Tamandua tetradactyla: one gene and its partners. The protein of the gene in region 2 interacts with the protein of the main gene of each other region in a biochemical or structural test. Links are inferred from orthologs where the notes say so. Each region holds a gene or a part of one and is shown on either strand. Other genes may lie near its edges. The genes, in order: RFWD3, RPA1 and RAD51.

Region 1 (10,601 bases), on a different chromosome or scaffold from region 2:
AAATGCAGTACACAGATACGATGGAATATAAGGCAGCAGTAAGACAAACTGACGTCCTGAAGCACATGACAAGATGGATGAGCCTTCAGGACAAATTAGCCAGACACAAAAGGACAGATACTGTATGATTCCACTTTTATGACCAGCATAAAGGTATGACCAGAGGCTTGTAATACAAAACATAGGAGACTTAGAGATACAGAGAAGATAGTGATGGGTGAGTCGTTAGCTAATGAGGTTGAACTCCAGTATAAGGGAATAGATAGGAGCAAAGGTGATTCTCTAGCGGGTCTAGAAGTAATATTACCATATTGAAGATGAACGAGATTGAACGGGGTTGTACAGACCTATGTGTCCCACTGACTTATACTAGAAATATGAATCAGTTCTCGTAAGAATTACTTCAAAGATATGATTTTTGTACAAAGAGTGTTTAAGTCCAGAGTACAGGGGGAAAACAGCTATTGCATGCAATGAGCTATGTTCAAAAGGAAACCATAAGCACTACCACAGCAACAGCAGAGGTAAATAATGGGGATGGGACAAGACTTAAGAGGAGGTTTAGATTTCCTATTTGGTGAGGATGTGTTTATTGGTTTCCTGACTCTGGGGAACAATGAAATTATTTAAAATTCAGAATGTTGATGGATTGGACTTTGGGTCCTCTACATGATGCTCGATGAATGCAGGTGGCTGAAGGATACAGACAGAGAAGTAGATTGGTGAACGATTGTATATGCTTATGAATGAAGGTTGTGCTGCTACAAAAAGGAACAATGTCATGAGGCATACAGTGATATGAACGAACATGTGGGACATTTGGTGAGACAAAATAAGCCAGGAACAAAAAAACAACAATGGTATGGTCACTTTCAGAAAATGCTTATAAGAAAACAGGGATCTAGATCGTAAGCTTTTAGAGCAAACACATTAAGTCTGGAGTGGTGGCTATTATTTCTGGATTTTGAGAGGCTGTTTTATATATATAACCTGATATTAGAGATAAGAATGAAGCCGAACAGGTTGGGTTTAAAGTAATTCAGAACACAGGGGTAAGGAAGACAGTGACTATACTTTAGAACCACATATACTCTTTGAAACCAAGGGAAGAAAAGTTTATCTGATCTATAACTGAAATTTTCTGTAGTGCATAATCTAATTCAACCTATCTGTATAGCTCACTTCAACAACTGAAACACAGGGAGCACAGAGTAAGAAAGAGTTCTTATTCTTTAATCCTGTATAGATTATTGTAATGCCTGGATATATCCTAGAGTATATTAAGCAGATAATCGAAAAGTATTGGCAAAGTCCCCAAAGATACGGGAGAAAAATATGGATCAAGGTCATGGCCTATTGACTTGGGTGTCCCTAAAGTTTGACACAATATCACTGTCCTCCCCCCTAAGTGGGACATGACATCCAGGGGTGAAAGTCTCCCTGGTGAAGTGGGAGATGACTTCCAGGGATGAATCTAGACCTGGAACCATGGGATCAACAATTCCATCCTAACCAAAAGAGGGAAAATAAGTGTAATTAATAAAGTACCAGTGGCAGAGAGAGTTCAAATAGAGTCGAGAAGCTACTCTGGAGGTTGCTCTTACGCAAGCTTCAGGTAGACCTTGCTACCTATCACAACCTGCCAACCCCCAACCAGGACCATTCCAGTCAATCCTAAAGAACACTTAGGGCAATAAGATTCCATAAAGTTTCCATGCACTAGAGTACCTTCCCAGAAACCTACAACCTCCAGTCCTGAAACCTAGCCCAGCCTCTCCAGAACATAAGATAGTTCCATCTCCGTACCCCATATTAGAGACAGACCCTTCCAAATGAAAAATTTAGAATGGTCATAGCCCAAACCCCAATGAGAGATATGCAAAGATCAAAGGTGATGGTGGAATTATACAGAAAAGATAGGAATTAACAAATCAATATGAGTGCTGAATCATTAAATTGATATTTCTTTTAGTCTCCAGTATTTCAGAGCAGCTAGAAGTAAAAATCTGAAATTGTAACCCAAATCAAATTGTGGTGCTGTGCTTAGAAATTTATAGTTTTGCATATATGTTATTGTTCACAAAAAAAGAAGGAAAAAAAAGTCAATTGTGATGATAAAAAAGTATTTAAGCCCTCTAGCCTCCTATATTTTGGAGCAGCTAGAAAGAAAAATATGAGAGGATCGTATAGTAGCCCATGACAAATTCTGGGATCTATTCTGTAACCACTTTTTGAAGAGAGCTTTGAAAACTATTGCTTTTTTTTTTCTTCGCTTTGTATATGTTATACTGTACAATTTAAAAAGTTTAAAAAAAGTGGCATATCCATAAAATAGAACATTCAGCCATATAAAGGAATGAAGTTTATACATGCTCCAACATGAATGAACCCTGAAAACATATGCTAAGTGAAGTAAGCTAGACACAAAATGACAAATATTTTTTTATTCCACTTACATGAAATATCTAGAATAAGTAAGTTCATTGAGACAAAGTAATCAGAGATTACTAGGGGTTAGGGGGTGGAGGAAATGGAGAGTTATTGCTTAATGGGTGCAGAGTTTTTGTTTGGGGTGATAAAAAAGTTTTGGTAATGAATGGCGGTGATGATAGCGCAATACTGAATGTACTTAAAGTCACTCAACTGTACACTTAAAAATAGGTAAAATGGCAAAATTCATACTATATATGTTACCAAAATAATGTCTTTTAAAAACATGCGAAACCATACTACTATCTGGGTTTATAAATAGATGACAGTAGTATAAAACACGCATGGGCACGATAAATGCCAAATTCAGAAAGGGTATAGGGGTGTATGTGAAGCTGCAACTATATATTTTTTTTTTATTTCTGGAAAAAAAAAATAAGACGAAGCAATCATATCAAAAGGCCAAGATTTGTCAAATCTGGGTGGTAAATGCACATGTCTCCTTTTATTTCTGTGTACTTTTCAGTATGATTAAATACTAAAAAATGAAATTTCCTCCCATCATATGCCTAGTGAACAACCATTCTAATTAGACCAGGAGGGCAGAAAGCAGAATCTAAACCTAATCCACCACTGTATCCTCCATAGCATCAAGTACATAGCAAACGCAAAATACCTATTATAGTGTTCACTACCCTTCACAAAAACCCAACCCAAACCAAAAACCTGAGAACACATCAGGTGCTGTATCACTAAAACTTCTGTAGAATTACAGCCCTACAGAACCTACCAATTTTAACGCACTATCCAAGAAAAGAATTACACTCTTCCAAACTTCACTCATAAATTCTTCACTGCTCTTCAGAAATAATATTAAGGTCATGCCTTTAATATTGCTTACGACGTGTTTCTCGAGTACACCTACAGCCTCAGAACCGAAGGTCAGCGGCCCAAGCTACTTCTCGAAGTACCCAAAAGACACTCAACAAATCAACCTTCCAGAAAACAAAGGGGGTTTGAATGAGGGAAGGACCAAAGAGAGCCGACTCCAGGGACCTGAACCAGTCGCTACCCTAGTCTTTAGTCACATGAGGCTATTCAAATCAGATAAAATTAAAAATTAAGTTCCTCCGTCGCACTAGGCACATTTTAAGTGCTCAACAGCTACATCTGGCTACCGTACTGGATGACGCAGATGTACGACATCTCCAACATCGCGAAGTTCTGCAGATACAGAACGTTCCACCATTGCAGAAAGTTCTGCGGAACGGGCCGTTCTGGGGCAAAGCTTCCCAAGCCACACGGAGAGATACTGAGTCCCCCCACCCAGCCCCTGAGGTAACCAGGGATGCCTAAGAGCAAAAGAGCTTGGGTTGGCCACCCAACCCTTGTATTTATCTCATCGTGCCACACAAATGCTATTTTCTATGTACGCCACTGAAGTTGAGACTTGAAATGTTATCCTTCCAACTGCTCCTTCACAGGGCTTCGGTCATTTGAAACAATGCCCGCCAAAGGCCGGGAAGACGACCTGCCTATTAGCAAGTATGAGGAGGCACCGGGGAGTCAGAGACCTCTGTTCGAATCCCCGTTCTGTTACCTACTGCTGTGGGTCTCTTAACGCTTCTGCTCAACTTGTTCATCGATAAAATAGAGATAATCGAAGAACGCCACAGAGTTGCGTCACAGCGTAAAACTAGATAAAATAACAAATTAAGTTTCTCAGTTTCTTCAAAGTGACGCAAGTTCTGGACGCTCGACGGGAGTGCAATTATTTGCAAATGAATAGTCGAGAGACTTTGCTGCAGGGAATTCGGCTCCTTCCGGGACCGCTCAAAGTTCTTGCCCTCACCGCCCCCCACCCACCTGAGGCGACTCGCCCGGGAGGTTCGGGCGTCTCAGTTAGACCATTGACCCGCCCAGAGAGGCCAAACCTCTTCCGGCCGCCGGCCTCCGCTTACGCCCGCCCGCAACCCACCTCGTGGGGGTGGGGGTGGGGGTGGGGGTGGGGGTGGGGGTGGGGGTGGGGGTGGGGTGGGGGTGGGGGTGGGGGTGGGGTGGGGGTGGGGGTGGGGGTGGGGGTGGGGGTGGGTCGCCGGGTCCCGCAGCAGCCCGAGCAAGCTACCCGGGACCTAGAGACCCAACGCCTGGGGAGAAACTAGCACCCTCCTCACCTGAAGACAGAAGGACGCGTAAAGCTCGTGAGCCCGCGCAGTGGCAGCCCCTGCTTTCGTAGAACCAGCACTGCCCGGGCCACAACCGCCACTTCCTAAGCAACCGTAGCTCCCCGCCTGAGCCGCGGGCCCGGCCTGCTCCTATTGGGCAGCAACCACCAGCCGGTGACCAATAATCTCTCTTCTTCTTCCATTGGTCCCTGCTGCGGGAACAGCGGCGCTCTCATTGACTGGTCCTTCGTAGGCCGATGAGGCGGGACCATGCACGAAGAAAACTCGTACAATTGGTAGAAACCTATGCCCTTCACGTCGCGCTCAGCCCGCGAAAAGGAGAGCGGTTAAAGAATTTTGCCGCGATTTGCTTGAACTTTCTGGCGGGACAAAGTTACAAAAGAACGATTTACCCTTCCATTTCGGGATACATATGAAAATATTAAAACTTTGGCTCCCATTGATTCTCCCTAACGCTTTAGTGAAAAAGTTATTATTACCGAGAAATGAGGATTTAAGGGATGATTTTAATTACTAAATCATTATGTTAATGTCCCTTTTTGCTTTCTGGCATATCGGAGTAGATAGGAAATACCTGAAATCTCTGAATTATAATCCAGCTGCCTTGATCTCTAATAATGGTTGCTTAGCCCTTGTCTTCTGCCCCTGTGATTGTAAAACCTTTGTGACTAACCTTCATCTGTACCTAGTTACCCAGTTTTTCAATTTAAGAGTCTTATAATACCTAAAGATAGCCCCCCAGGGTTTATCAATGAAGGGTCTTGGGTTCCCCCCCAACTAACCCACTCTAAATCCCAAATTATTTTAATGACGAATATCAGATATAACCAAAGTGGGCCCACCTGACATGCGCAGTAGCTTAGATTTTAACCTACAAGTCACCTATACTTCATTCAGCCATTTTCTTCCATATATTCTGTGACTAAGCATGTAATTAATCTGCACATACTTGATAATTAGATCACCTCTAATTACATCATCTGGGGCCACTGTACTCATCTTAAACCCTGCCCACCTTTTCTCTAATAAAACTGCGAATGTTATATGAACTACACTGCAGTTCTGGGAGACAGCTTTTGGGCCCTTAGGCCATTTGCTCTCCTACTAGCATGTAGTAATAAACCCTTTCTCTCTCTGAAACCCCAATGTCTCAGAAATTGGTTATTGAGCATGTCGGGTGAAAGAATCCATGGCCTTTGTCTGGTGGCATTATCTTTATCCAAAGGACAGTAACTAATTGAATAATTTCACTATTTTGTCCCTAGAATTCCAGATTCATAAGAGGATGAGACAATCTTGTTCTTAAATATCCTCTCGTGGAGTTGAAGAGCTCAAGCAGAATTTGCCTGTGTGATCTCTTCAATCCCAGACCACTTCAATAAATTGCCTCCTGCTAAAAGAAGGTCACATCGCTTTCCATTTTTCAAGCATTTAGCTGAAAGGAAGACAAAAATCTCATTTTTAGGAGAAACACTTAAAAACCTAAATCTCAGGCACGGGCTATGCATTGTCAGACTTTTATTTACGCAACTGCCAATTTTCAGTGGAACGGTAAAGGAGAACATGAATAATCGAAAGTCATAGATAATCTGAAATTTGATTTTTAAAATATAATTATTTTATTAAAGAAGTTGTAGGTTTACAGATAAAATATGCAGGAAATGCAGAGTTCCCATACATCTCCCCCGCCCCATGATTTTTATTTATTTATTTATTTAGATTGTAAGGTAGTTCATTTACTTTATTTATTTTATTTTTTAGCAAGTAAGTAGGAAATTTATTAGGTACACATGTAAGAGGACATGTGGGCACTCTCACAAAGGTAAGTGAGAAAGGCTAGAGGCCTCCAACTGTTATTAACACCTTGCATTAGTGTTATCCTGGTTACAATTGATGAATGAATATTATTATACTTGTACTATTAACTATAGTCTATAGTTTAGATTAGGGTTTACTGTTTGTGTTGTACAGTCCTATGGTTTTGTTTTAAAATTTTTATTCTAGTGACATATATACAACTAAAATGTCCCTTTTTAGCCGTAATTAAGTGTACAGTTCAATTCTGTAGTTATGGCCACAATATTGTGCTACCATCACCACTATCCTTTACCACAACTACTCAATCACCCCAAATAGAAATTATATACCAATTAAGCAGTAACTTCCCATTGCCTAACCCAATGCTGGTCTCTGGTAACATGTATAGTAGTCTGAGTCTATGAATTTGCTTATTCAAATTATTTCATATTAGTAATATCATGCACTATTTGTCCTTTTGTGTCTGGCTTATTTCACACAACCTGGTGTCTTTAAGTTTCATCCATGTGAACCTTATTCCTTTTTTATTATTGTTTTTATTATCAGAACTTCATTCCTTTTTATGATTGAATTACATCCTAAAGTGTGCATACATATTTTGTTACCCATTGATCTGTTGATGCTCCTATCTTTATTCTCTTGATGCTTCTTGGGTTGCTTCTATTTTTTTTGGCAATTGTAAATAATGCTACTATAAACATAAGTATGCAAATACCTGCTCCAGTCCCTTTTTCAATTCTTTTGGGTATAAAACTAGTTGTGGGATTGCTGGGACATATGGTAATTCTATACTTAACTTTCTAAGGAAATACCAAACTGTTTTACACAGCAGTTGTACCATTTTACATTCCAATCAACAATGAATGAGTGTTCCTATTTCTCCATATCCTCTTGACACTTGTTATTTTGATTTTTTAAAGAGTAGCTATTATTAGTCAGGGTTCTCTAGAGAAACAGAACCAACAGGAGATATCTGTAAATAGAAGATTGATAAAGGTATCTCATGCAACCGTGGGAATGTAAGAGTCTAAAATCCACAGCGCAGGCTGTGAAGCCGGCAGCTTCGACAAAGGATCTTGAACGCCATAGGAGAGTTTTGCTAGCTGAAGAAGCAGTGAAAAAGCCTGTCTTCTTCCTAAAAGTCTTCAACTGATTGGATTACATTGTTTGCGGGAAAACACACACTTTGATTGCAGATGCAATCAGCTGAAGCTGCAATCAACTGACTGATGATTTAATAAACCAGCCTTCCGGTTTATCAACCAGCCACGAAATACCCTTGCAGCAATAGTCAGGCCAGTGCACCGATAACTGGGCATAATAACTTGGGCAAGTTGACACCAGAACCTAACCATCACAGTCCACCCCTTGACAACTGGGCAGCTATACTCATCATCTTGAAATATCCTGAATTTCCAAATAGAATGTAACAGACATGTTTCACCTAATAACACTAAACTGTCATGCACACAACAGGAAACACACTAAATCTCTCCAGAATAGGGTGCAAGTCCTTAGGTAACTTTCACTCTTGAACTTCATATCTAATAACTTAAATACTATAACATGAACAATACAATGTATGTCATATGATAAGAGGAAAACAAGATATTTGCTTACGTACAAATACAAATATGCTTATAACAAAACAGGGAGGAAATATTCATGCCATCACAGTCCTTGTTTCTTTAACTGGGCATGTGGTCATAGTTCATATTTATGACTACCTTCTTCCACTACCCATTCCATGTTCTCTTCACAGTCAGCAAATACTTCAGCTGGCTTGTGGTTCTTTTCCAGGTGGGATGACTCAAACCTTCATTCCTAAGGTTTCTGGGCTATTGGTAGTCCTGCCTGGGTTGGGTTGTTGCAGTTTTCAATTGATTTTAATCACAGAGTGTGGTAGTACTAAGAGATGCCCTAGGGGATATGATATATTCCAGGAAAACTCTTCTTTACCTCCATTGTGTAATTGCAATCCTATTTCCCCTTGATACTCAGGATCAATCACCCCAGAAAGTACAGTAATCCCTTCTTTCCCTGTTGATCCAGTAGCATGAGAGCCTAAAGTGGCCAGGTGGCAGTCTTAACTTCCAGTTCAATGGACTCATTGCTGTGTCTCCTGGTAGGAGCACTCCTCCTTTTGGAACTAAGACTTGTAGCCCAGCAGAGTTTAAGGCTTCAGGTACAGGAAGCAAAAATTTTCTCTAGTAGATAATTAGGGGTGATAGTGAGTGGTGCCACTCCCATTTCCATCCCTTGATTCCTGGACCCATGAATCTGGCTTTGGGAGAAAAGGCAACATACAGTGAATGCTAATTCAGTGCATACACAGCCTCCTGAAGAACACTGCCCCAGTCCTGCAAGGTATTTCCATCTAGTTGGCACCATAATTGGGTCTTGAAGAGGCCAGTCCACTGTTCTATCAAACCAGTTGTCTCTGGATGATGAGGAACACGGTAAGACCAGAGAATTCCATGTGCCAATTCCTGCATTTCATTTTCTGTGAAGTGGGTTTGTGCTGGTTTGAAAGGATGTGTGTCCCCTAGAAAAGCCATGTTTTAACCCTAATCCCATTTTGTAAAGGCAGCAGTTTCTTCTAATCTCTATTCAGCACTGTATATTTGAAACTGTAATTAGATCATCTCCCTGGAGATGTGATGTAATCGAGAGTGGTTGTTAAACTGGATTAGGTGACGACATGTCTCCACCCATTCGAGTGGGTCTTGATTAATTTCTGAAGTCCTATAAAAGAGGAAACATTTTGGAGAATAAGAGATTCAGAGAGAGCAGAGAATGAAGCAGAGAGTCCACAGCCAGCGACTTTTGGAGATGAAGGAGACCGTCTCCCAGGGTTCTTCATGAAACCGGAAGCTAGGAGAGAAAGCCAGCAGATGATGCCATGTTCGCCTTGTGCCCTTCCAGCTGAGAGAGAGAAGCCCTGATTGTGTTTACCATGTGCCTTCTCACTTGAGAGAGAAGCCCTGAACTTCATCGGCCTTCTTGAACCAAGGTATCATTCCCTGGATGGATGCCTTAGATTGGACATTTCTATAGCCTCGTTTTAATTGGGACATTTTCTCAGCCTTAGAACTGTAAACTAGCAACTTATTAAATTCCCTTATTAAAAGCCGTTCTGTTTCTGGAATATTGCATTCCAGCAGCTAGCAAACTAGAACAGAGTTCCTGGATCAGAAGCAATACTGTGGGAAATACCATGATGGTGGATAAGACATTCCATAAGTCCATGAAGGGTAGTTTTTGTGGAAGCACTGCATGCAAGGAAGGCAAACCCATGTGCAGAGTATGCGTCTATTCCAGTTAGAACAAATCATTGCCCTTTCCATGATGGAAGTGGTCCTATATAATCAACCTGCCACCAGGTAGCAAGTTGATCACCTTGGGGAATGATGCCATATTGGGGAATAAGTGTGGGTCTCTGCTGCTGGCAGATTGGGCACTCAGCAGTAGCCATAGCCAGGTTGGCCTTGGTGAGTGGAAGTCCATGTTGCTGAGCCCATGTATAATCCTCAAACCTACCACTAAGCCCATTTTTTTTTCTTATGAATAGACATTTTTTAAAATTTATTAATTAAAAAAAATTAACAACAAAAAATTTAACATATCATTCCATTCTTCATATATAATCAGTAATTCTTAATATCATCACATAGTTGTATATTCATCATTTCTTAGAACATGTACATCGATTTAGAAAAAGAAATAAAATGATAACAGAAAAAAAAGATTATACATACCATACCCCTTACCCCTCGCTTTCATTTATCACTAGCATTTCAAACTAAATTTATTTTAACATTTGTTCCCCCTATTATTTATTTTTATTCCATATGTTCTACTCGTCTGTTGATATGGTAGATAAAAGGAGCATCAGACACAAGGTTTTCACAATCACACAGTCACACTGTAAAAGCTCTATCATTGTTCAAACATCATCAAGAAACATGGCTACTGGAACACAGCTCTACATTTTCAGGCAGTTCCCTCCAGGCTCTCCACTACATCTTGAACAACAAGGTGATATCTACTTAATGCATAAGAATAACCTCCAGGATAACCTCTCGACTCTGTTTGGAATTTCTCAGCCATTGACACTTAGTCTCATTTCACTCTTCCCCCTTTTGATCGAGAAGGTTCTCTCAATCC
Region 2 (10,267 bases):
TGCACTTCCACACATGAAAAAAAAATTCAACAAATGGTACTACGATAATGGGACACTCACATAGAAAAAGAATGAAATGTGACCCTACCATACAGTATAACAACAACAAAAAAGATGGCTTGCAGGATATACAGGAGACATATGTGATAAAGTAAATATAGTAAAATGTTAATGTAGAACCTAGTTGGTGATTGTATAGAATTTTTCACTGAAAATTCTCTCAACTCTTCCATATGGTTGAACATTTTCAAAATAAAATGTCGGGAAAAAATATTCAGAATAAAAAAAAAGTTATAGTCTCCCTTTAATAAATCTCCCGTATTTCTCCCCATATTGAAATAACTTTTTTTTTTCTGGCTCTAACATAGGTCTCACTAGCACTGAAATGATCATTTTTAAAGCTCTTCTTCCTCTTAGAAGTCACAGTTGAGGCAGGAACTCTCACTATGGGCTGCAAGCTACAGTGCCGTTCCTGCTACCACATCAGCAGGCCCTTTCCAGGTTCACCCACCAAGTACACTCACTTCTTCTTGCTGAACTTCACAATAACATGTCATTAACAACCGGAAGGGACCTTAGAGATCCTTTGGTCTCTAGACTCCTGGCTTTTTGCTCTGTTTTCTAAGTTTTATTGTGGTAAATACATACAACACAAAATTTCCCATTTTAACCATTTTTAATAAGATCTTTTATGACAATGCTTTATAACAAATCAAATCATACTAAATACTCAAAGTACTGAATAATTTTTTGAAATTCATGAGCTATCCTGGAACCAACTGTGTTGACATCTGCACTAATAGTGCAAAGCAATGGTAGGTAAAACGATTAGTCCCTTAGCATAGCTACTACACTAGGAGTCATTGTATTCTTCATTGCCTTGGATTTTTGGAGGGCTGGGAAGTTCACCTAAGAATGTCCTTGATGAGAGTGCACAGGTGGTTCAGTGGTAGAATGCGAGCCTTCCATGCGGGAGACCCAGGTTCGGTTCTCGGACCATTTACCAACACCCCCCGCCCCCCGAAAAAAAGAATGCCCTGATGAAGCAGTAAAAATTACCCATTATATTAAATCTCAACCCTTGAATACACAAAATTTTAATATTCTGTTTAACAATATGAAAGTATGCACAAAGTACTCCTGTTGTATACTGAAGTATGACTGCTATCTCAAGGAAAAATACTTGTGCAATTTCTGTTTAAATTGCCTAAGGCATCTGTGGGACACCATCAAGCATACCAACATGTGTATCACTGGAGCCCTAGAAGAACAAGAAAGAGAAAAGGGCAGAAAAAGTATGTGAAAAAATAAGGGCCAAAAACTTCCCCAATCTGATGAAAGAGAAAAATGTATACATCTATAATGCTCAATAGACTCCAAGCAGGCAGACTACGAGAAACACACCAAGACACATTAGAATGAAACTGTAAAAATCCATAAAAAAAGAGAGGATTTTGAAAGCAGCAAGTGAGATGCAATCCCCAATAAGATTTACAGCAAATTTCTCATCAGAAATCATGGAAGCCACTAACAGTAGGATAGCATATTTGAAGTCCTTAAAGAAAAAACTGTCAACCAAGAGTTTTCTATCCAGCAAAATTATCTTTTAAAAATGAAGGATAAATTAATAAAATGTTTACGAATACAAGCTAAAAGAGTTCACTATGAGAAGAGTTGCCCTACAAGAAATTCTAAAGGGAATCTTTCAGGCTGAAATAAAAGGACACTAGACAGCAACCTGAAGCTGTAAGAGATAAAAAAAAGAACACTGGTAAAGATAACTACACAAGTAAGTATAAAATCCCATATTATTGTACTTTGGGTTAGTAACTACTTTCTCCCCCATATGACTTAATAGGCAAATGTATAAAATAACATTTAAATCTTGTTAATGGGCATAAAATGTATAAAGACGCAATCTGAGCTAATAATAATATAAAGGGAGAAGGATGGAGATATATAGGAATAGAGAGTTGTACACTGAAACTAAGTTGCTACTGGTCAAAATAGATTATTAGTTTAAGACCATATATCTGATAAGGGTTTAATAACCAAAACATATAAAGAACTCCTACAACTGAACAAAAAGACAAACAACCAAACTGAAAAAGAGGCAAAGGATATGAACAGACATATTTCTCCAAAGAAGGTATTCAAGTGGCCAATAAATACATGAAAACATGCTCAACATTGATAATCTTTAAAGAAATGCAAATTCAAACTACAATGAGATACTACTTCACACTCACTCGGATGGCTATTTTTTGAAGGAAAAAACAATAACACAAACAAACCTGAAAACAAGTTTTGGCAAGGATCCAGAGAAACAGAAACCCTTGTACTTCGCTGGTGGGAATATAAAATGATACAGCCACAGTGGAAAACATAATCTTTTATTTTATGTTAATTCTTGCCCAAAAAGCCTCTACTACTGCCATCCTTTCATGTCTGTGCCTTTTGAACTAAAATGATATTATCTAATTTGGCCAATGACCAAAGTTGACAAAGGTTCTATACCACCAGAGAACAGAGGTTGTCTGTCACCACTAAGACAGAAACACACACACACACACACACACACACACACACACACACACACGCTCGAAAACGTCCTTTTTCATTCATGAGTAAAATGCAAATACTTCACCCAACACTGGAAATGTATTTCTAAAGATCTGAACATAGGGAAAACTCACTTATCAAATTATTTAAATAAAAATAATTTTTGTAAAAGCGAAGAACCCTAGTCTGTCTTAAAGCAACTACAATAATATGAATGAGGACTACAGTTTGCAATCACTTCCTAGGTCTCAACACTCATTTATTCAAATATTTACTCAACTCTTACAACAGCTTTACCCCTTCCCATTTCCCATGCTCCCTTTCTTGCTTATTTATCTCTGTCTCAAACACCCCTTACTTTTCACTGCCTCATTCATTCATGCAATTAGCAAACCTGAATCCTGCCGGCACTGCTCTAGGTACTGGGAAACTATACTGGTAAAAAAAACAGAAGTGATTGCGAGCCTCATGAAATTTAAAATCCAATAGCAAAGACAGTAGCTGATATGAATCAAATAACCAACAAATAAAAGTAAATTACATCTGTGGTTATTACAATACCTAAGTTTACTGAGCACTTACTATGTATTAGGCACTGGGCTAAGCACTTCAAATGGAATAACTCATTTAATCCGCCCACTAGCCCTATGCAATAAGTACTAGGTGTCATTGCCCTCATGTCACAGAGGAGAAAAAGGCAGAAAAAAGTTTAGCATCTTGCCCAAAGTCATACAGTTAGTAAGTGAAAAGGGATTATGGTTTCAAAATAAAGGAATTTAGCCTAGCAAAAGAAGTCAAAGACTTCTCTGAGGAAGTTAACTACTGACCTATTTCAACATTATGTTAGTTAATGAGAGGGGAAAATGAAGGCCCATCCAGGATGCAGAAAAAAGGAAAAGCATGTTCAAAGGCCACATGGAAGACAAGAGTGTAGAATATACCAGGAATTTAAACTTAAAAAAAATAATAATAATATAAGACAATAAAGGCCCTATGCTTGGAGAAGACATAACAAGTGGAACTATGATGAGGCTGTAGAGACAAGTAGGCTCAACCAACTCTGACCCTGCATCCACTATAAGAATTCTGGTCTTTATCCCAAGACCATTGGGAAGCCACTGAAGCAGTTTTTATATTTTTGCAACAGGGGATGGGAATCACTAGGAGTGTTGAGGAAAGAGGGTACACTGAGAGGAAGTGAGTAGACCAACCTAGAAATAAGAGTGGCAGTGTGGATGGGAAAACATAGATGGGTTTAAGAGGAATAAATTATACAGGACAGGATTTAAGTGTAATAAAATCATACAGGATGTGGTGAAGGACTGGACCTCCAGGATGAAGGAGGATGCAATAAGAACGATTTCTCAATTTCTGGCTAGCATACCTCATGAGATAAAGATGCCACAGATGGACAAAAAAAAATCAAAAGGCCCAGCCATAGAAAGGAAGATAATGTATTTGCTTTTGGACATGCTGAGATGACTAGATGCCTTTGAGACATGAAGTAAGCAGACAGATTATAGAGATTTGTCTTTCAGAGTAAAAGGCAGTTTGGAACAAAGAAAATTTGTGAGCAACTGACATACAGATGATAATGAGAATGCTTTGGAAGATGAGGGCCTGGAGCAGATTGAGTCTAAAAATTTACAAAGAGGGGTTTGCAAATAGGATGGGGAAAGATCACTCAAGTTGAGTCACGGAAACCAAAAGAGGAGAAAATGTCAACAGAAAGCAATGTTCAACAGACTCAAAGAGCTGATAACTCAGACAAATTGAAAACTGAAAAGTGTCAAGTTGGATTTAGCAACTTGGACGCCCCTGGTAACACCACCCAGAGCTTTCTATCGTGATCAGGGAGATTACTGATTGCAGTGGGTTAAAGAGTTATTGAGGGGTGAGAAAATGAAACAGATGAAAACAGAAAACCCTCCGGAGAAGTTTAGCTGTGAATTGGTGGGGGGCGGGAGGGGCGGGACAGGTGGAGGGAGATGGGGAGAAATCAAAAGTTTACTTTGTTTTGCTTTCTTGGGTGGGAAAAAGGTGAGCATTTCTAAAAGACGATAGGGAAAACCCATTGAGGAGTAACGGTACTTGAGAGGCACCCGGGCAGTTCCCCTACGGCTCCCCGCATCTTCTACACCCGCCCCCCACCGCGTTCTCTGCCCACCGGGTCCCAGCTCCCCTCCCCTTCTCCACTCCGGACATGTCCAGACTCCCCACCTCCAGGGCCCACAGCCAACCCCCGCTGGCGTGGCTCCCGGACACCTCCTTACCGCAATGGCTCCCTCACTCAGCTGGCCCACCATGGTTCCGCCAGGCTGACTCCGCGCTCAGACACCTCCGCAGCTAGGACTCCACTCCCGCGGTCCCGCACGCTTCGTAGCAATCGGCCCGAACAGTTGTGCGCGCCACCGCAGCCTCCCGCCTTGCACGCGGCGCGGGGGCGGGCCTAAAGCCAAGCTGCAACCGCATTGGCCGGGACGTGGCGGGCGCCCTACGTAATTACCCCCCTCCCCCAGGCGTTTCCGGGCCTGGTCGCCGGATGGCGGAGCCTAGGGGAGGAGTCTCGAGTTGTGGGGCGCGCCAAAGCTTGGGGGAGCGCGAGCGGAGGCTGCCGTGGCCCAGTTCTGGGAGCTTTCCCAGCGGGCTTTTGGCCCTTGGCTGGTGGAGCGAATGGCAGAGGACGGTTAGAGCTGCTCCCTGTTAATTCTGCCGCTAAAAATAGTCACAGCGGCGTCTGGTTTCCTTCAGCGACCGGGTTTGAGCGCCTGCTGCTGCTAGGCTGCGAACCTGGCATTTTAGAGGCCTCTGAAGGTAAATAAGAACGAGTTCTAGCTTTTCCCGACGTGCACAGTCTGTCCGGGGAGTTGCTGCTGTGCACTTACTCAAGGTGGACATGGTACGCCACAGGAGAGACACAAAGTGTGTTGGAATCACCGGCCATTTGAACTGAGTCATGAAGGATGTGTGGAAGTTTGCCAGGTGGAGCTCAGGTGACAGTAGGGTGTTCTTGGCAGAATGAAAAGGCTATGCAAAAACACTGGAGATACGAAACAGTTTAACAACCTGGGAGACGAGACGGGGAAGCTGTGAATAGTTCAGCGTGGTCGTGTACAGAGGAAGGAGAAGTGGGACTTGAGAATAAGAAAGAAAGACTAAAGGGCAAATAACGAAGGGTTTGTATTGGGCGTTCCTATGTGATAGGAGGGGTGTTTATGAATTTTAAGGCAGAGGATTGTTCTCTGTTGCAATGTGGACGATGGAGGTGGAGGGGAACTGAGGTCAGAGAGACTAGAAATGGTGAGGACCTGAACTGAAAGAGTGAAAGGGAATTTGAAGGAAAAAACACCTATGTAAGTGATAGAAATGTTATGTTAACTGAAGAGTTTCTCCGGTGAGTAAAAAAGAAAAATCTGGAACGACTCCTAGATTTCTGACTTGAGCTACTAAGGTGGATGGATGTTGCAAGAGCACAGGGATGGTAGCTAACTAATTTGATTCATGGTTACATAACCATTATCTAGCATGGTGCCTATAGCATAGCCTTTTTTTGGCATGGACTGGTACCAGCATAGGCTTTTAATAAATATTTTTGAATGAAAGGATGTTGTATGAGTTGGTGTGAGAGAATGTAGATCTTTCCTCAGACATATAAGGCAACAAAATATCCATATCAACAACTAAAGAAAAGACCAAAATAATTTATTTTGTTGCTTCACACTTACCTAGAATTTGTGCTTTTGTAGAAATCTGATTCCTTATTTTCTTATTCATTTTGCAGGTCTAAGCATGGACCTGCCTGTGGATGAGTGGAAATCATATGTACTTAAAAAGTGGTCTTTACTTCCACTCTCCATTCAGGTCACAGTTTCAACAGCAAAGTCTTTGAGTGCTATCTTTCTTCAGTGTTCTTCACATCTTCAGTAAGTGACTGGAAATTTTAATCTAGAAAATTTTCTCATTTGTCATTTGCTCTGAAGTAATATCTCTTCTTAGTGGGTTAATTTCAGATTTTTATGTTGTAGGGGCATTCAGCAATTCTTCGTACAGTTTTCACCTTTTTTTAAATGTACAATCATAGAACAAGTAGTGAGGATTATTTAGCTTTCTTGGTGTCAGTGTTATGTTTCAATAATTCAATACCTTGCTGTAGTCACCGTGCTCTGAACATTGCTATCGCCTAAAGGGTATTAAAGAGATTTATTAATTGTTCACGGAAATTCGTTAGTGCTCAAATTTAGAGAGGACCTTAGAGATCATATAATCTAAACCCCATAGTTTTCGAATTCCCTCAACTATAGCACTCAATAAGAAAAACATTTTACATTATATCCTAGTACACACGACGCAGGAATTTCTCAAAATGTCATTCATTCAATGAATATTTATTGATCACCTATTTTGTGCCAAATACTACTAGATGCTTAGAATACATAAGTGGCCAAAATAGACAAAGATCCTTACCCTTAGGAGCTTAATTCAAGCGAGGAGGGGTACATAATAAATATCATAAATAACTAAAGCATGTAATATGTTAAAGGTGATAAATACAATAAAAAAGAAAAAGTAGAACAAGCTAGGGAAAACTGGCTGTGCTCAGAATGAGTGCAGTTGTAGTATTAAATAGGATGGTCATGTTATGCCTCGTTGAAAAAGTGAAACCCCAGCGAAGAGTTGGAGGTAAGGGATTTAACAAAGTAGATATCTGAGAGAAGTGCACTCCAGGCAGAGACTAGAGCGAGAAACCCTAAGATGGGAGCATGTTTGGCATTTTCAAGGAGTCATAAACAGAGTAAGCCAGAGAGAGAAGTAGGAAATAAAGTCTAAGAGATAATAGGACAGGCATGGTGGTTGGGGGAAAGCAGGTGGCACAGACCATATAAGCCCTTGTCTTTAGGGTTTTTTTTTTTTTTCTTTTTTTTTTGGTATGCTGTATGTAGGGGTCACATTTCATTATTTTTCCATGTAAGTACCCTGTTATTGCAGTACCATTTGTTGAATTTTTGTTTTTTTTGTGTGTTTTGTTTGTTTGTTTGTTTGGGAAGTACATGGACCAGAAATTGAACCCAGGTCTCCCACGTGGCAGGCAAGAATTCTACCACTGAACTACCCTTGCATCCCTGGGCCTTGTCTTTTTTCTCTGAGAAGGAAGCTATTGCTTGAAGTGATAGGCAGGCAGAGGTCTATAAAGATTACCAATCCCACCCCTCACACCCACCCCACTGCAAGGTTCCTGTACTTGGTTATTCAGTCTAACATAGTGTATGTACCACTGTGAAGAGGTTTTTTCGGATGAAATTAAAGCCCTAAATTATTTCACCTTGAGATAATGGAGATTATCTGAGTGGGCCTGACCCAGTCAGGTCATACCTTTCAAAACAGAGGTTTTTTCACTGGTAGCAGAAGGGTCAGTCAGAGACGTTCATAGAACGAGAAGGATTTGATGTGCAGTTGCTGACTTTGAAGGTCGGGGGCCACATGGCAATGCGGGTGACCTCTTGAAGCTGAGAGTGGCCCCTGGCTGACAGCCAGCAAGGGAATGGGACCTCAGACCTACAGCCTGAAGGACCTTAGAAATGGATTCTTCCACATATCCTTCCAATAAGAGCTCACTTTGAGTTGGCCTTCTAACACCCTAGGCAGAAAACCAGTTGAGTCTACCTGTCTTCCTTCAGAGCTGAGATAAAAAATGGGTGTTTTTATAGAAGCCTGTACTTTTTATTTATAGATTTTGCCAATTTGTAATTTTATATTCATTTGATCGCTTGGTTAACATCTAGTCTCCCATTATACATTATGACCCATGATGGCAGGGACTTTGTTTTTCTTGAAGTTTTGTCTTCAGTGCCTGGCATGTAGTATATAATCTTAAAATATTTGTTGGTTGTATAAATGAATGATGTGTGCTTCTTTATTGTACCTGAAGAGATGTGCAATAGTTACCTTCTGTTAGTTAAGTCTGAAATCTCATTTTACTTATTCTATTAAGACATGTTTAAAAGGAAAACACTATGAGGAGATAATATATTAAGTCATTATTTAAAGTAAACCTCCTATTCATATTAACTGAACCATTTTCAAGAATAAAGTAAAAACTTGAAAAAATAAGAGGTAGAAGAGGTCAGTTTTAGTAGTGGGAGGTAGCCATGGAAATTTGAGGCATATGGAAAATTAGTGGGTCTTTGTTACATTATAGTTGGAAGCTGTAGTAAGAAGACCTAGATGGCAAAATAACAATGTGCAATGATTTGAAGAAAAGGGGCTGATGGAAAAATAAATGAGAACAGAAGACAAAAAAAAAAAAATGGGTGTTGTTTTTAGCCATTAAGTCTATGGTAATTTGTAATTTGTTATACAGCAACAGAAAAAGAATACACAGGATTTTTTTTTTTACATGGGCCGGCACTGGGAATCGAACCCGGGTCCTCTGGCATGGCAGGCAAGCATTCTTGCCTGCTGAAGCACCGTGGCCCACCCAGTACACCAGATTTTAAGAGAAGAATGATGCGATTTGATTATGTTTTAAAGCAGGGCTCAGCAAACTAAAGTCTGCAGGCTAAATCCAGCCTTCCACGTGTTTGTTTTTTTCTTTTTTAACATTTTTAATTGTGTAATATAACATATATACAAAGCAAAGAAAGAAAAAAACAATAGTTTTCAAAGCACTCTTCAACAAATCGTTACAGAACAAGATCCCAGAGTTTGTCATGGGCTACCATATGAAAAAAATCCTCTCAGATTTTTCCTTCTAGCTGCTCCAGAATATAGGAGGCTAGAAGGAATAAATATATATTTTTTTATCACAATTGATTTTTTCTTTTTTTAAAATTTTTTTATTAATTATAAAAATTAACAACAAACAAAACATTAAGATATCATTCCATTCTACATATATAATCAGTAATTCTTAATATCATCACATAGTTGCATATTCATCATTTCTTAGAACATTTGTATCAATTTAGAAAAAGAAATAAAAACAAAACGATAACAGGAAAAAAAGATTATACATACCAAACCCCTTACCCCTCGCTTTCATTTACCACTAGCATTTCAAACTAAATTTATTTTAACATTTGTTCCCCCTATTATTTATTTTTATTCCATATGTTCTACTCTTCTGTTGATATGGTAGATAAAAGGAGCATCAGACACACGGTTTTCACATTCACTGAGTTACATTGTGAAAGCTATATCATTGTTCAATCATCATCCAGAAACATGGCTACTGGAACACAGCTCTACATTTTCAGACAGTTCCCTCCAGCCTCTCCACTATATCTTGAACAACAAGGTGATATCTACTTAATGCGTAAGAATAACCTCCAGGATAACCTGTCGACTCTGTTTGGAATCTCAGCCATTGACACTTAGTCTCATTTCACTCTTCCCCCTTTTGGTCGAAAAGATTCTCTCAATCCCTTGATGTTAATTCTCAGCTCATTCTAGGGTTTTTCTCAGTCCCTTGATGCTCAGTCTCAGCTCATTCCAGGATTTCTGTCCCACGTTGCCAGGAAGGTCCACACCCCTGGGAGTCATGTCCCACGCAGCAAGGGGGAGGGTGGTGAGACTGCTCGTCATGTTGGCTGGGGGGAGAGGCCACAACTGAGCAAGAAAAGAGGCTCTCTTGGGGGTGACTCTTAGGCCTAGATTTTAAGTAGACTTGACCTATCCTTTGTGGGGTTAAGTTTCATATGAACAAACC
Region 3 (10,162 bases), on a different chromosome or scaffold from region 2:
TCTGGGAGCAGGAAGGGCTTGGGAGAGGGGAGAAAATAGTATCTGCCTATAGAAACCAACCATGTTTGCTATTCCAGCAGGGACTATTTTAGCAATAAGGAATACACATACCTGGGTATAAGGATGTTCATGGCACCAAAAGTCATGACTATTAACCAAAAATGCAGACCCCTACCCCCACAAAAAAAAACCATCTCTGATGTTTTACCACATTTACCCATTTACTTAACTTCTGGGGTCTTGAAGCTTAGCTGGGATAAGGGAAACATGCATAATAAAGCAATCAGAATCAAAACTTTCTCTCCTTTCTCCCCAACTTCTTTAGTACAAGTTAGCTGCACTAATACTGTACCACTGTACAATGGACAAAAACAGCACAGGACCCCAGCTCTGGCGCTTAATGCTTTTGGGCAGTCTTGCATTGGAGCTTGGCTCTTTTCCCTTTATATCCCCAAGTCCTTCTTTCTGCCTGTGACAGCTGCCTTGCTAGTAACTCCAGCACAAATCTCAGTGATATAGAGAAGTTGCTCCTTTCTCCCTGCATGGCTGCGCACAAGCCACTGGAATTCTCTGGACAGCACGTATATACTTAAGTGCAAACGGCACAGAGACTCTACCAGGGGATTCTAAAGCTTTTTAGCATCTGACAGCCCAACTCTGAGAAAGAAAAATGATAACGTAGGAGAATTATAGACAAAAGAGCCCTGGCCAGACATGTTTAGCTCCTATATTAACCCTTCCCACAAAATCCTTGAAAACTCTCACGAAAATTCTCATTTGAGTTTTGATCTTGGATGGAAATGAATGATTTATGTAAAGGCTGTTATTTCTCCCAGCAGGTAGAAGAATCTTGTTTAACATTATAATCCAAAACTTAACAACTTAGCATTTACCTCTAATCGTGAAATAGGTTGTGGGCCAAAGCTTTCTTCTTCCACTGAAGTATCTGCATTTGCTTCAAGCTGCATCTGCATAGCCATTACTCGGGGTGTTCAATACTGAAAAATACAGATGGCCATCAAAAATATTAGAGAAACACTGTGGCTTAAGTATGGAGTTGCAAATTCAGTTTTACAATAAATCTCTGAAAAATTACTTGTTAGGCGTTTAGTCTAATCACTGACCTAACCATGGCAGGAAAAAGAACAAACCTTTCACCAGCATTCCCCTCTATTTAGATAGAGTTGTAACATAAAAGCTTCAGGAAGAGCCAGGATCACTTGGCTTCTTAAAGATGCACAGCTTCACTAGATTAACTATTCCCCTCTATATCCCTATCTTAAATTTCTTATATTATCTTTATACTCCTTGAGGGTAGGAGCAAAGTCTTATTTATTTTTATACACTTCATGATACATTATGCTAAGTGTTTGATAAATGTTTGTTAGAAGAATCCGGACATTCCAGTACTCTACTTTAAAAAAAACAACTCTCAACCTAGGAAAGGTTTAACAGCTTTCGTTCCCTTGTTTCCTTCTAGCAAGAGGAATTCTGGGGGTTGGCGGGGTGGAGCAAGGGAGGAAGGGAAGAAGGGAGGCAGGAGTGAAATGAAGATACAGAATGGCTGCCCATAAGCCTCCGTTCCTGAAAGGGAAACTTAAGCAAAGATCATAGCTTAATCACACACTTGTTGCTGTCAATAGGAGAGTGTGAAACTCAAGGATCACCATTTTATTCAATTACAGAACTTTAGACACCTCAGTGAATGAGAAAATGAAAAACATGCAAGTGACCCATTCAGTGTAAACCCTTCCATTTAGCCTAAGGCCTATAGAATTATGATTGCTCGCCTTGGAAAGAAGTAGTTTCAAATTGTAAAAATGAACGAGTCTTGATGTCCACAAGAATACGTCATCTTAAATAACATCAAAAGAGTCTGGACAAAGGGAGTGCACAGGTAGTTCAGTGGTAGAATTCCTACCAGCCATGTAATAGACCGGGGTTTGATTCCTGGCCCATGTACTTCCCAAAACAAGCAAACAAACAAATATTCAACAAATGGTGCTGCAATAACGGGATACTCACATGGAAAAAAGAATGAAATGTGACCCAGCCATACAGCACACAAAAAAAAAAGTTTTGGACAAATGTAATCTAAAAGATAAGAGATACATAAACAATGAACAAACATAAAAGATACAAAATTTCCATTCCTGGAGACTTGAGAAAAGATAAGATGACCATTTGTGTCCATTGGTTTGGGGATGGATCTCTTCCATGGCGATTTAGCATACTGTGAGTTTAGAATAATTCAATTTATCCAAATCATCTGGATGCAATTTAAATTCAAATACCTTTCTTTGTAATTTATGAAAACAATGGCACTGCAGATTAATGATGAAAGGATGGTCTTTTCAGTAAATAGAGATGGAATGATAAAATGAACTTTGCTAAAATATCACACATTATAGAAAAATATTAATTTCCAATTTAGATGGTAAATCTAAATGTAAAAGGTAAAGCAAAACTTTTAATATAGGAGACTATGTTCTTGCCCTTGGGGTAGAAAGGATTGCTTATACTGTATACAAAATGCAACAATCATAAAACAATGGAAAAGATAAAAATTGGACATAATATTCAGAACTTCTATTCACCAAAAGACAGTATTAAGAGAATATACTCAGGGGGGAAATTCTGCCACATATATAATCAATGGCTGACAAACAGAATAGACAAAGAACTCTTTCAAATCAATTAAGAAAAAGACAGACAACGCAAAGAAAAATGAGTAAGATTTAAACAAGCACTTCACAAGAGAAAATATCCAGATGGCCAACAAATATATGAACCGATGCCCAACCTCATTAATAATCAGGGAAATTTAAATTAAAACCACAATGAGACAATACTACATACCCACTAGAATAGCTAAAATTAAAATGACCGACAATATCAAGTGCTGGCAAGTTGAGTGACTCCTACAGGGCTGTGTGCATGTATACTATTTTGACCATTTTGGAAAACTAGCATTAAATGTGAAAGTTCAAAACAGACAAATACTTTGACTCAGGAATTGCACCATTCTGTGTATTAACCACCTGAAAAGCATGCACATGCACACCAAAATATATATAGGAATGTTCACAGCAGCCTTTCTCATAAAATCCAAAAACTGAAACTAAGAAGAATAGAATGGATATGGAATACTATTCTTTATGAATCTACAGACATAATGTTTCATGAAGTCAGTCACAAGATAATCCATAAAGTATTATTTCATTTACACAATATTCAAATACAGACAAAATTAATCAATGGTATTATAAGTCAGTGGTTACCTCTGAGGAAAAGAGGGGCAAGTATTGGAAAAGGTTGTGCAAGGAAGGCTTCTGGGGTGCTGACAGCGTTTTATTTCTCGACCTGAGTGGTGATTACACAAGTATATTTATTTTGAATACACAAATGCATACAGTCGTGATGTGTGCATTTTTCCCTCTACATACATTACACTATACTTGGTAAATTTAAGGGGGGAAAACTCACTTCCCAGCATTCCCAGGCCACCACGTGACCAGCCTTCCACATTAGATTATGAAAATATTTCTTGGCAAATGAAGATTGGCACTTTGTAAGCAAAACACGGTGTGGCGTCAAGAGAAATGACCAGGAATCCGGAAATCATGGCTGTGGCATTAAAAAGTTGTGACTTTAACTAAGTCACTACACCTCCTTAGGTCTCGACTTCCTCGCCCACAGAACGGGTGTTAGGCTTGAAGGTGTCTAAGGTTCCTCCCAGTTCCGGTTGTCTTCACAACGAGCTCTGAAAGGCGGTTGGGCCTGGAACCCGCCCCTGCTCCGCCATCTCCAGTTTCTCAGCACAGAGGATAAGCGGCGGGAGAGCAAAGGCCCAGGTCCCATTCCGGCCAACGCGGGGACGAGCCGCGGAAAGGGGCCGGATCTGCGCCTCCACACTCACCTCTGCCTGCAGCGCCCCTCGCTCGCCAGCCGCGCGCTCTGACCTCTGTCCGCTGGCCCTGCGCGGGCCCGACCCCGGCCAGCTCCGGCCTCCTCGCTAGTGCCCCGCTTCCTTACTCCCCTGCCCAGGCTGTCTGCGCACAATCCAAGCGAGGCTCAGCTCCCAACTACGCTTGCCGGAGCGCGCCTCAGCTTTCCTCAGGCCTGGGTCTGGGCCTCAGCTCGCACTCTGCTCGGCGGCTTTCGGAAATCCCGCCAAACCCTCTCGGGCAGGGTCACGCCTGCGTCAGCGTAACGTGTCCCCGCCCTTCTCCAATCCCCCCGGAGCCGCTTTGGACACTGCATGCGAGCCCGAGGGATGGGTCCAGAGAACCAGCATGGTATTATAGGCTTGCTCCCTTTGTTTTACTCTAAGGATTATTTAAAATTTTCTGAACTGCTGTTCTCGTCTCTCTCCCAGATCGAGGACTACAACTCCCAAGAGGTAGTGGGGTCACCCGGAACTATATCTCCCAGCAGGTACCGCGGTTGCCGCAGCCCCCACCCTCGTCCCTGTGGTGGATAATCTGGTTCAGGGGACGGTTTTTTTTTACTTTGTTTCTGCGGTGTCTGAACCTGGGCTTTTGGCATTTCGCCAGACCTGAGTCAGTCAATTTCCCAGAGCAAGTTGTTTTCCAGGTCCCTGGAAGTGGTGAAACTGGAGAAACCATAGGAGATGAATGAAACTAGGAAATTGAGCTGAGAGCTAGCTCTCCAGAAGTGGAGAAAGAAATAGAAATACTGCAGGCTATCTCGGAGACACTGGTAGTTCGGTTCTGTACAACCGCCATAAAGCAAATATCACAATAAAGCAAATATTGCAATAAAGTGAACCACACAAAGTTTTTGGTTTCCCAGTGTATATAAAAGGTATTTACATTATACTGTAGTCTATTAAATGAACAATAGCATTGTGTTTAAAAAAAAATTGTACATACCTTAATCTTAAAATGTTTTAAATTTTTATTAAAATTTAATAAATTTTAGAAGAAATAAAAAGGTTTTATTTCTGAAAACTGCTAATCATCTGCGCTTCCAGGAGGTTGTAATGTTTTTGCTGGTGAAGCTTCTCACTTGGATATTGGTGGCGGCTGTCTGATCAGGGTGGTGATTGCTCAAGGTTGGGGGTGACTGTGACAATTTCTTAACATAAGACAACAATAAAGTTGCTACATCCATTGACTCTTCCTTTCGTATCTCTCTATAGCATACAATTCTGTTTGATAGCATTTTGACCGCAATAGAGCTTCTTTCAGAATTGGACTCACTCTTTTCAAAAGCTGCTGCTGCATTATTAACTAGTTTAATGTAATATTCTTGTCATTTCAACACTATTTAACAGCATCTTCACCAAGAGGAGATTCCATTCTCAAAAACTCTTTGCTCATCCATACTAAACAAGCCTCATCCGTTTAAATTTAATCATGAGATTGCAACAATTCTGTCCCATCTTCAAGCTCCACTTCTAATTCTAGTTCTCTTGCTTTTTCAACCACATCTACAGTGACTTCCTCCACTGAAGTCTGGAAACCCTAAAAGTTGTCCATGAGGGTTGGAATCACCTACCAAACTCCTGTTAAGGTTGATATTTTGACATCCTTCCATGAGTTATGAGTGTTCTTAATGGCATCTTCGATGCTGAATACATTCCAGAAGGTTTTCAATTGACTTCATCCAGATCCATCAAAGAAATCCCTCTCTATACCAGCTATAGCTTTACGAAATGTATTTCTTAAATAACAAAACTAGAAAGTAAAAATTACTCCCTGATCCATGCTTTGCAGAATGGATGTTGTATTAGCAGGCATTAAAACATTAATCTCACTCTACATCTCCATCAGGGCTCCTGACCAGGTGTGTTGCCAATGAGCAGTCATATTTTGAAAGGAATCTTTTTTTCTGAGCAGTAGGTGTCAACAGTGGGGTTAAAATATTCAGGGTGGGTCACGGTGGCTCAGCAGGTAAGAATGCTTGCCTGCCATGCCTGAGGACCTGGGTTCGATTCCCGGTGCCTGCCCATGTAAAAAATAATAATAATAATGGTGTCATACTAATAAAATAAAAAAGTTCACAATATAATTACTGTATCAAGATATACTAAAAAAATATATATATATATTCAGTAAACCATGTTGTAAACAGATAGGCTGTCATCCAGGCTTTGTTGTTTCATTTAGAAACCACAGGCAGAGTAAATTTAGCATAACTTTTAAGGGTCAGTATTTTCAGATTGATAAATGAGCGACAGCTTCAACTTAAAGTCACCAGCTGCATTAGCCCCTAACAAGAGAGTCTGTTTGTCCTTTCAAGCTGTGAAGCCAGGTATTGATTTCTCCTCTCTAGCTATGAAAGTCCTAGATGGCATATTCGTTCAATAGAAGGCTGTTTCACCTGCATTGAAAATCTGTTTTTTTGTGTAGCCCCTTTTATCAATAATCTTAGCTATATCTTCTGGATAACTTGCTGCAGCTTCTACATCAGGACTTGCTGCTCCACCCTGTATTATTATGTTACTCAGACAGCTTCTTTACTTAAACCTCATGAACCAAACTCTATCTTCAAACTTTTCTACTGTAGTTTCTTCAACTCTCTCAAGCCTTCAGAGACTTGAACAGAGTTAGGGCCTTGCTCTGGAGTATGTTTTGGCTTAAGGGGATGTTGTGGCTGGTTTGAACTTCTATCCAGATCACTAGAACTTTCTCCGTATTAGTAATAAGACTGTTTTATTTTCTTATCTTTGATGTGTTCCTGGCAGTAGCACTTTTAATATCCTTCAAGAATTTTCCTTTGCATTCATAATTTGGCTAACTGGTGCAAGGGGTCTAGAGCTTTCAGCCTGTCTTAGCTTCTTCGTTAAGCTTAATCATTTCTAGCTTTTGATTTAAAGAAAGAGACATGCAACTAACTCTCCCTCTCACCTGACCACTTAGAGGGCAGTGTAGGTTCGATTGTTGGGTCTAGATTTTGGATGACTTTTGCCTTCATCTGCAACGATCTATATATGTCTGTTAGGTCTAATTCATTTATCACATTGTTTAGGTTCTCTATTTCCTTATGATTCTCTGTCTGGTTTTTCTTCTATAGAGGAGAGTGGTGTATTGATGTTTCCCACTATTGTTATTGAAAGGTCTTTTGCTCCCTTTAGTTTCGCCAGTATTTGACTCATGTACTTTGGAGCTCCTTTATTGGGTGCATAAGCATTTATGATTGTTATTTCTTCTTGGTGAATTAATTCTCTGCTTTATTAATATGTAGTGTCCTTTCTTGTCTCTTATGATATCTTTGCATTTAAAGTCTATTTTTTCTGATATTACTATAGCTACCCCTGCTTTCTTTTGGTTACAGCTTGCATGAAATATCTTTTCCATCCTTTCACTTGGCATCTATTTGTATCTTTGGGTCTAAGATGAATATCTTATAAACAGCATATAGATGGATCATATTTTTAAATCCATTCTGCCTATCTGTATCTTTTAATTGATGAGTTTAGTCCGTTGACGTTGAAAGTTATTACTGTAAAAGCAGTTCTTAAATCTTCCATCTTCTCCTTTGGTTTTTATTTGTCAGATCTATATATTTTTCCTCTCTCTGTTTTTATCCTTTAAGTTACCCTTAGTAGTACTCTTCAGTTCTGTGCCCTTCTCCAGACCTCCTTCTCCTATCTTTGTTTTTCAGCTGACAGTACTCCTTTTAGTATTTTTGCAGGGCCGATTTCTTATTAGCAAATTCTCTTAGCATTTATCTGTCTGTGAAAATTTTAGTCTCTCTCTCACTATTTTTAATTGTTATTTAAGGCCTTTATTAACAGATACTTGCAATTTGTTGACTTTTTTGAAAAAATTAAGTTATAAACTTTTATTACAAATTAAATTAAATTAAATTGGATCTTCTTCTCACCTAAATTTACATATTCTCTCTATGTGGTCTTCTAGGGTTTTATGGCTGTTTTTCTTCTTCACCACTGTATTGTCAGTGCATAATTCAGGGCCTAACTTAGTAAACAATAAGGAAGTATTTGATGTATTAATGAATAATTGTTTCCTTACATCCCATCACCCAACCCAGTTCATAGTTAATGTGCCATTAAAAAAAAAAAACCCTATGCTGCATAGATAATGCAGGTAGTTCTAGTTATCTGGTCGACTGGCAAAAATCAAGCACTTAAGGTCTTCAGCTCCAATCCTTTGTTCATTTCTTATTGCTGGAATTTCATATTCACTTCTTGTTGTATGACTGAAGCAGATGATGATAGAGATGGTAAGCTAGCATTTACTCAGATCCACCCTGCTCAGCCTTGGGAGCAGAAGAATCCTCAGTTGGTAGATTGGCTACTTTTGTCTCTTTGCCATCTAGTGGTTTAGGATTTTCTGAGTGCTGCATCAGTAACTGAAGTTACCACGGTGCCAATGTTGAGGTGGCTGCTGACCTTGGGTCTCATTTCCTTGATTTTCTTTACCATTTTCATTGCTGTCCTCTCCAGGCTGTTTTTGGCAAGGAGGGCCCCTGCGGAATCCTGGTCTGTAACCCAGATACATATTCTGCCTCACTGGTCTACATTGTTCTCCTGCACCCTGGTTGTCAGTACCCTCCATCACTTCTCCTTGCACAGGAGGGTTGAAAACTGTGGATGACACCCACAGGGTCTCTGCATGTAGTAAGGTGGGAATTGTCGCCTACAGTAGGGCCAGTGTTGTTGGCCCTGGCCTTTGGGAGCACTCCCTGATCCCTCGTTATTTTCCCCATTCTCACTATTCTGGTAATTTTGCTGGTAAATTGCATGGAGGGCCCCTACAACATGGAAAATGTGTATAATGGTTACAGTCTGCTGCATATTTACTGTCTTGCTCTGGAACTCCACCAGGACCTGTGATGTTTGCTACCCCTGCCCCCTTTTCTCCTTCATCAACATCAAACTCCACAGTCTGTCTCTTACGCTGTGAAGGTACTTCTTCTTATGGCAGTCTGGTGTACAAGCACATCTTCCTTAGTATCATTCCTGTTGATGAAAGCATATCCATTTCTTGCATCAAACCATTCTGCTGTTCCCAAAACTTTCCAGGCAATGATCTTGTCCCTGTAGGCAGGTGCCGCCAATGTGAGGCCGCTTGGGATGCTGCTTCCTGTGCCACTGCCTGTGGCACTGAGCTTGGTGTCAACAGCACTGAGGGCGGGGGTGGTCGCAGCTGGGGTCTCATGGTTGCGGCGTTGGTGAGGAGGGCCGGCTGTGGCAGCTCTGGCTCCTCTGGGGCAAGATGGTAACTAGGCCAGCAGTGGTGGGGGCTCCGCTGCGCAGGGCTCTCTTCTCCCTCACTTTTGAAGGACAACTTTGATGGATAAAGAATACTTCACTGGAAATTTTTCTCTTTCAGAATCTTGAATGTATCATACCACTGCCTTCTTGCCTCCACGGTGCCTGTCAAATAGTCCAAACTGAGCTTTATGTGGCTTCCCTTGTATGCAGTGAATCACTTTTCTCTTGCTGCTTTTGGGACTTTCTGCTTCTTTTCAGCATCTGACAGTTGATTAGTATGTGTCTCCAAGTGGGCCTATTTGGATTTGGGCTTCTTTGATTAGCATATTTATGTCTTTTATAAGGGTTGGAAAGTTTTCTCTAATTATCTCCTTAAATAATCTTCATAGCCCTTTATTCTTCTCTTCTTCTGGGACACTAGTGATTCTTATATTTCTATGCTTTTTGTTATCCATCATTTTCCTAAGATCCAATTCAAAGATGTCCATCTTTTTCGCCATTTGTTCTTTGTGTGAATTCAGTTGTCCTGTCCTCTGCTTGCTTATTCTTTCTTCTGCCTCTTCAAATCTGATGTTGTGTGTCTCTAGTATATTTTTAAACTTTTTTTATTGTATGGTATAACATATATACAAAGCAAAGAAATAAAAAATGCAATAGTTTTCAAAGCACTCTTCAACAAGTAGTTACAGGACAGATCCCAGAGTTTTTCATGTGCTACCATATGATCCTCTCATATTTTTCCTTCTAGTTGCTCTAAAATATGGGAGGCTAGAGTGCGTAAATATTTTCATCATCATAATTGACTTTTTTTCCTTCTTTTTTTGTGAAAAATAACATATATACAAAAAAGCTATAACTTTCAAAGCACAGCACCGCAGTTAGTTGTAGAACATATTTCAGAGTTTGACATGGGTTACAATTTCACAATTTTAGGTTTTTGGTTCTAGCTGCTCT

The links.
Region 1: the proteins of RPA1 (region 2) and RFWD3 form a complex in vitro, tested with the Homo sapiens proteins (3 studies listed by BioGRID, with this or other methods). The link is inferred for Tamandua tetradactyla from reciprocal best matches to the Homo sapiens genes RPA1 and RFWD3.
Region 3: the proteins of RPA1 (region 2) and RAD51 form a complex in vitro, tested with the Homo sapiens proteins (2 studies listed by BioGRID). The link is inferred for Tamandua tetradactyla from reciprocal best matches to the Homo sapiens genes RPA1 and RAD51.

What each region holds. Positions count from the first base shown.
Region 1 is NC_135342.1:69,204,955-69,215,555, forward strand, and holds the start of RFWD3 (E3 ubiquitin-protein ligase RFWD3), read right to left. Parts: upstream 4,215-10,601; 5' UTR 4,074-4,214; coding exon 4,031-4,073; intron 1-4,030. UniProt on the Homo sapiens protein: E3 ubiquitin-protein ligase required for the repair of DNA interstrand cross-links (ICL) in response to DNA damage. Plays a key role in RPA-mediated DNA damage signaling and repair.
Region 2 is NC_135332.1:55,592,104-55,602,370, reverse strand, and holds the start of RPA1 (replication protein A 70 kDa DNA-binding subunit), read right to left. Parts: upstream 5,006-10,267; 5' UTR 4,869-5,005; coding exon 4,836-4,868; intron 1-4,835. Other genes in the region: protein-lysine N-methyltransferase SMYD4, read left to right, coding at 5,519-5,555, 6,344-6,485. UniProt on the Homo sapiens protein: As part of the heterotrimeric replication protein A complex (RPA/RP-A), binds and stabilizes single-stranded DNA intermediates that form during DNA replication or upon DNA stress.
Region 3 is NC_135340.1:53,975,090-53,985,251, reverse strand, and holds the start of RAD51 (DNA repair protein RAD51 homolog 1), read right to left. Parts: upstream 4,381-10,162; 5' UTR 4,113-4,380; exon of another isoform or gene 3,487-4,112; intron 1,001-3,486; 5' UTR 981-1,000; coding exon 894-980; intron 1-893.